Caenorhabditis elegans: one gene and its partner. The protein of the gene in region 1 interacts with the protein of each later gene in a pairwise test. Each region holds a gene or a part of one and is shown on either strand. Other genes may lie near its edges.

What was found. Proteins that work in one complex are often made in the same cells at the same time.
Region 2: the proteins of mksr-2 (region 1) and mksr-1 interact in a two-hybrid assay, tested with the Caenorhabditis elegans proteins (3 studies listed by BioGRID).

Annotation. Positions count from the first base shown.
Region 1 is NC_003282.8:2,304,792-2,308,547, forward strand, and holds the start of mksr-2 (B9 domain-containing protein 2), read right to left. Parts: upstream 1,757-3,756; 5' UTR 1,750-1,756; coding exon 1,662-1,749; intron 1,213-1,661; coding exon 1,087-1,212; intron 1,042-1,086; coding exon 857-1,041; intron 1-856. Other genes in the region: vha-11 (V-type proton ATPase subunit C), read right to left, coding at 3,455-3,550.
Region 2 is NC_003284.9:1,067,482-1,071,237, forward strand, and holds the start of mksr-1 (B9 domain-containing protein 1), read right to left. Parts: upstream 1,649-3,756; 5' UTR 1,553-1,648; coding exon 1,496-1,552; intron 1,051-1,495; coding exon 876-1,050; intron 326-875; coding exon 229-325; intron 187-228; coding exon 56-186; intron 1-55.

The DNA.
Region 1 (3,756 bases):
TAAAAAATTTGCTAACTAACAAAATTTCCGCAACGTTGTACTTAATACTTAACAAATCGTTAGTTACAAATTTTTACTATCAACAATCCAAAAAATGTTATGCGCCTTTAAACTCAAAAGTTTAATGAAGCCCTTTTCTTTTTTAACCTACAAACTCCTATACCGTCCTCAAAACTAAAGTTTTAATAAACTTGTTAAATATTAAAATATTCAAAATTTAGTGATTAACAAAATGTTAGTTGATAACTTTTTACTATCAACAATCCAAAAAATGTTATGCGCCTTTAAACTCAAAAGTTTAATGAAGCCCTTTTTTTAACCTTCAAACGCCCATATCTCCCTTATGGCTAAACTTTCAAAAATTTGGTCAACTAACAAAATATGCAAAATTTAGTGCTTAACAAATTGTTAGTTGATAACTTTTTACTATGATCAATCCAAAAAATGTTATGCGCCTTTAAACTCAAAAGTTTAATGAAGCCCTTTTTTTTAACCTTCAAACGCCCATATCTCCCTTATAGCTAAACTTTCAAAAATTTCGTCAACTAACAAAATGTGCAAAATTTAGTGCTTAACAATTGTTAGTTGAAAACTTTTTGCTACCAACAGCCATAAGGATGTTATGCGCCTTTAAACTAACCTAATCCATATTCAAGTCTTCCCATTATTGTAAATTTACAGGTGAATATCTTGCTCATCTCCCTAATGGCTTTAGCGTTTTAAAAATTCTAAACTAACAAAGTATACCAAATTTTATGCTCAACAATTTATCAGTACACAATTATCTTCTACCTCCATCAGCAACCGAGTTATAACCAATATTCACTAGGGCGAACTTGCATACTTGCATACTCACCTGCAGTCCTCCTCCCACCAGTTTATGCATCATTTCCTCCCTCCAACTTCCTTTAGGTCGCCAGCATCCAGATGTTAGAACATGTTTCCCGGGAGAGGTAGGAAGGAGCAAAGTACCGTACCCAGCAATTTCCTGTCTACCGTAGTTGTCATGGTGCCAGATTTGGAGCAAAAGTCGGGGCCAACCTGGAAATTCCATCTATGTGTCGGGGGTGTCATGATGTCTCTTACCTTGAATACTGGAAGTTGCCAGGTGCAAATCGATTGGATGAGCAAAATGAGCATTTTCGAAAACTGAAGGACAATCTGTCTGAGTCTGACCCTCACTTTCACCCTGAACCACTCTCCAACCGCCTCCTGGAAATTTATTTATTTTTCTTTCTTTCTGATGAAATTTTTTTTTTTGAAGTTTCAAAATTCTAGAAGAATTGAAAAAATCAATTTCAAACTCGAAAATTTAAATTTCCCGCCGACCGCATGTTGCAAGTTCGCTCAGACGCGAAAATTGAAAAATTTAAATGTTTCTACGTTCAATTTATGAAATTTAAAATGTTTTTACAGAACGATTGTAATTTTCAGGGAAATTTAACGAAAAATTCTATTTTCCCTCAACCTATGTGCTATGCAAGCGCGCTCCAATGAGAAAATCCATGAAATTAATAATTTTCACGTTTCAAACTCGATGTACTGATAAAAATCGAAAAAATAACAACATTTTAATGTAAAATACACGAAAAACAATTTTTCAATCCAAAATTTGAGGAAAAACTCAAATTTTCCGCGAAAAAAATCGATAATGCTCTCACCAAAACTGAGTTGATATCGAATCGATAGCCGATTATCACCGAATCCACGTGCCGATAAAATTTGTCCCGAAACGAACACTTCGGCCATTTTATCCCGGAGGGAATCAATGGGCTCCGCGAGCTCCTTGGAGTGGAAGCCGGTTGCCACGGCAACCGGGTGGTGCAGAGGTGCCCAGCAACCGGGAAAAGCGTGGAAATAGATTGAGAAATGTCAGAATTTAGTAAAATTTCGATGTTCTTCAGTAATAAAAACCATTTTAATATTTTTTAATGCAAAGATCACAAAATTTGGCCACTTTTTCAGTGGAGCGCACATACAGTTGGGGCAAAGTTTGAATTTCTAAACAGAAATTGGATTTTTTGTTAATTTTTAGAGGAAAAACTGTTTTTTCTTCACGAAGACTTAGTTTTTCAACGATTTTTCGGACAAAAACGCAATTTTCTCATTAGAGCACACTTACAACGTTCGGTTGGAGCCCACGGTAGCACAGAAACTAGATGGATTGGTTCATGGTACTCAGTCTGGATACCTATATTGGCTACTATCTCGAAAACCATCACAAAAAAAAAACCATCACAAGATTTTGCGATGCATATAAGAAATGGCCGCAATGAAATTATCTATCTTTTCTATTAAGAAATTTTTTGATTGAAAATTTCCTAACCGGTCAAATTTGTGTTTGTTCGGTGGAGCGCGTTTGCACTCATCTAGCTGCTGTACCACCGTGTTTGAATTTCTGAACAGAAATTGGATTTTTAGGTTATTTTTATAGGAAAAATCGCATTTTCTTCACGAAGACTTAGTTTTTCAACGACTTTTTGGGCAAAAACGCATTTTTCTCATTAGAGCGCACTTACAACGTTCGGTTGGAGCAAATTTTAGTTTTTCCAGTGAAAAAGCCAAATTTTGTGCATTTCTCAACACAAAATGTGAATAAATCAAAAAAGTTCACTTGGGTTCCCGAGGAAAACGACAAATTTCGCCAAATTTCCGAATTTTCTTATTAGAGCGCGTTTTCAACATGTGATCGGGGCGCGATGTTCAAATTTTTCATGTAAAACGTGATGAAAATCCTAATTTTGCATATTTTATCAATGAAAACACTGAAATTTCGCTATTTTTCGAGGTGGTTTTCTCAATGGAGCGTATTTGCGCCTGCGCGAAATTCAAATTTTTCAGTCAAAAAATCAATTTCTATGTAGTTTCAAGTGCAAATTGAAATTTTAGGTAGTTTGTCATTAGAGCACAATTGAATTTCCGCGAAATTCAAATTTGCTCATTTCCAAATCGATTTTTAGTTCCTTTCCGGTCAAATTTGACCAATTTTCTTGCAGAAAAATCCCAAAAAATCCAAAAAAAAATATCAATAAAAAATACATTTATCTCTTGGAATGTAAAGAAATCGGAGAGTGTGTGAGGGGGGACTGACTGACTGAATGTTGTAGTTTGTCATACATAATAAGAGTAAAGGCGCGGAATTTATCCCTAAAAAATAAAGGAAAAATTCCAAAAAAAAGACGGGAAGGCGAGCATATAAGTGAAATTTCATCTAAAATTACACTAAATTTTAGGCCAATCTACTACTTCTAAAACTTGTAAAAATCGTTATATTTTTTGTCATAAAATTTTGAAAAATGTTTTTTTTTAATTGGGTGTAGTGAAAAATTGCGACTATCACAGGAAAATTGGGGTAAAAAAATAAGAAATTCGAAAAAAAAAAATTTTTGTTCTTGGGTGGTGATGGAGGGGGGAATGTGTGTGTACAAAATTCGGTGGTATCCAGATGACGTCATCACTTGTTCAAAAAATCGATATTCAGCTTGAAGAAGACGTATGGATAATATTCGTTCACACCCAGCGACATGAGAGCTGGCGAGTCTTCCAAAGTCTGCAAAAATTGAATTTTTCGGCAATTTTCTCATTAGAGCGCACTTGCACTCCATGTAAGCGCAAAATTGTTGCGGGGTAATACCTAGGAAATCACGGATTTTTGCAATTTTTGTCAGTAGAGCGCACTTGCATCGTGTGTGTGTGGTCGGCGCGAAATTCAAATTTTGCACAAGATTTTTGAGTTTTTGGTCAAAATTTGGCTAG
Region 2 (3,756 bases), on another chromosome or scaffold:
ACTTACTTCTATTCTCACAGCAAAAACAATTAAATTACAAAATTTTGATTCTTACCATATCTTCCATCTGCATTCGCCGGTAACATTGGATCCACAAACTCTGCATTCACTCGTCTCAACTTTGCAATCAATTGCTGAACTGTCGAAGAAGGTTCTGGCAGGAAACAGTGTACTCGGCAAACGTGTCTGAATTGATTTGAACTAAGTGAAAAATTGTTTAAAACTCACTTTCCAGGCTCTGTTGGAATCGGAAGCATACCATAGCCAGTCACACAATCTTTACCAGAATGGTCTTTAGAAAAACAGTTGAGTACAAGACGAGGCCCTGAAAAGTTGCACTTTTAGTGAAAATATGTTAACAAAAATTTATTAATTATCTTCCAACAACTTCACTTTAACAGTACATTGGTTTTTACAAAAAATAAGTCAACTGCTTTATTTGTTTTTTTGTAAGTTTAAAATGTAAAAATAACTGATATATATATATATATATATATATATATATATATACCAGACGCTGATCGCGCCTCCGGCGCATCCAACTGGCTGGAATAAATTTCAAATACCCCTTGAAGATAACATTGAAATTTTGAAATTAATTTGATTTTTTTGAAAATGAAAACTTTCAAAGTAACGGTAATTTTGCGTGTTGGCATAGCCTACATTGGACGGAAGGAAAATTTACTTTATATATAGTAATCTTCCAACAACTTCACTTTAACTGTACATTGGTTTTTACAAAAAATAAGTCAACTGCTTTATTTGTTTTTTTGTAAGTTTAAAATGTAAAAATAACTGATATATATATAATACATATATCAAAAATGTACATAAATGTATTATTTGTTTGAAATTACCTTTACAAAATAACTCACACATAAAAGGGCTGCTTCCTTTCAAACCACACTCGAAGGGCAAATCGATGAAAATCTGATTATCAGCGCCTCGAAATGAGAACGAGGATAGTGAAACTGTCTCTCCATTGATTATTTTCCAATCGCCTGTTGCAACAGTGCTCAGTTTGACACAAACATTGGATTCTTCCGGGAACTGAAATTAGTTTTATTATAGTTTCAGTTATATTTAATTGCTCGGCACATTACAGCGAAAAAAGTTATCTGTTTTTGATCTATTAAACTTTGCAGATATTATATTCTAAAAAAAATTATCAGAAAACTATTTGAAAATACATGGTTGTCAAAACTTCCACTAATAAAACGGTAAGTGCTGCTGGTTGTGCAAATAATCGTATTTTTCAAAAAAAGCACCACCAACAGCTCTGCAATATCTGTGAAAACCTATCTAATCGACTTTTTGGAGTTTTTTGGCAAATACGAATTTTTATTATAATATGAATTTCGAACTTATATTTCAAAAGAATAAGTGACTAGTTTTTGAAATTTTCACTTGTTTTACTACCTGTATTAACAAATAAGGTTAAGAAGCTCTCATTTTTTTTCTGAAGTTATAACAACAAAAATAGGAAAAAAATTACCTCGGTAGTCCGAACGTTTCCATGAATTGTCAGTACAATACTATCAGCTTTCTCCATCGTTTTTCACACTCCAAAACTGACAATCAATGTCAAAATTGTGAGAAGCGTTACGTAAACTAGTCTCTAGGTTGCCAAGGGAACATCTGCATAGAGAGAGCGTGCAATGCGGAGGGACAGACAAGGAAGGGGGAGGGCACCTGCATTTCGCGCACTCGCAGCAGATGGATACGACAACCAGCTGGTAGAAGAGCTGGAGAACCGGAAGGAACTGTCGATTGGTTATTAGATGTTCCGGATTTAGGAGAATATAAGGATATAGGACTTTTAGTGAACAAAACTGAAAACCGAGTTTCGGTATTTTGTTTGAGCAATGCATGCGATGAGATTAAGTTCACATATTACAGAAATGTGCATCAAACCAAAAATTGCAGATTTTTTTGGATAGTTTCAGTTAAAACTTGTTCAGTCTCTGGTGAATGGACAACTGTATTGAAATTTTATATTTATTAAGAAATTTGACGCAATATTTAAATTCCTTCAACATTACAATACATTTGTAAAATTGTAAAATCTTTTTTGAGGTGGTGGGAGAATCCAAACAAGACAATTTTCACGTTTTGAAAAATGGTAGTTTTATCAAACACAATTACCTTATTTCCTCTATTGGTCTTGCACCATACTAGCCAATCGAAAATTAGTTTTGCAGCCTTTTTTAGTATTGCACCATCTAATAGTCTCGGCAAAGACGTCTTTTGGCGGTCCAGCAAAACTGTGTGAAAACTCCAGAATTTTTTTCGAAAAACTAGACTTAAAAGCGTTCAAATTGTTGACAAAATATAGGAAAAGTATGTACTTTTAGTGATTTAATCGGTATCTAAACGGTTAAGTTTTTGATAAAATTTGGCCACTTATTTCAAGTTATGAGGCTGTCTCTAGTTGTTTTGCACCCCTACGGATCAATTGGAAATTAGTCGAGCATGCGAGACTAATAGAGGAAATACGGTATATAGCGTCTAAGACTTTGAAAACTGCCTTTCCAAAGCCAAAAACATTTTGTTGAAATTATCAAGCATACTGCGGTACATCAAAAAAAATACTGTGATAAAAATTTTTTACGGATAAAGCATTCTTTTAAAAATTCAATAAAACATATCAAAAAAAATTTAAATTTAAAAAATTGTTCAGTTCTCCAGGTCATGCAAAACAACGTCACTGGAACCAGAATCGATACGAGTTGCAGAAGAAATATGTCAGAAGATACGAAAAGTACAAAAATTTTGTATTTCTGGTGTTATGAGCGTTTTCCTGCTATCCCAGCAAAAAATATTGTTGCATTTTTTTGGTTCAATTTATAATAATTTAATAAATTTTTTTGCATATGTTTCAAAATTTCTTGTAGCATAGGTAATTATAAATTTAATATCTTATCGACTAGCGGGCCCTGCGGGCCCGCCAGTTGTAGGGGGTGTAAGGCGAGTCCCCTTGCCGGGCGTAGGTTCTCGGCTTCGCCTCGAACCTGTTAGTGGGTTCGTGAAAATTTCAGTAGGTCAATGGGAGTCTTCTTGATTTTTGAGTTCGGTTTGACCAAAAACAGAAGCACCCGTTGAATCAGTTAAAGCTGAGTTTTGATTGATTGAAGTTTGAGGAGGCACCCATATTTATTAGGGGAGACGCACCCATATTTTGTATAAAATCGAGTATTTCTATTCGAATCCCGATTACTCACAAAAAACAAAAAAGTTTGTCAGTTGGCAGAATTGAACCAACTACCAAAATTTCTGAGACATACGCAATAACCACTCGGCCATGCGGGATATTCCTCCAACAGGGATGTAGGGAAGAAAATTTTCTGGAGAGGAGTCGTCTTTCGATTCCGCTTTCTCCAATAATGTCAATTTGAGAAAAGATGTTTGAAAACCGTTTATCACTGATAAGTCAGCGGGAAAACGAATTTTTGAAAATTTTATTACAGGATTGTACTCATTATTGAATTCCCGAAAAGGAGACGTACAGTTGAGGGCTATATCTTGTAAACTGTTTGATTTGTAGAAAATAAACAAGTTTTGGCCTGAAAATTAATAAAAATAATATCTCTTGGCAGAGTATTTCTAATGCGACGAAACTTCATCTTCCATTAAATAAAATCAAAAACTATGAATCAAAAATACATTCCGCAAAACTTTAGTGGAAAAAATGTTCAGGAGACCCAGGAAACCACTCTTCCCAGTACTAAATTTTTGAATTATTTTTTTCTTGAAAAA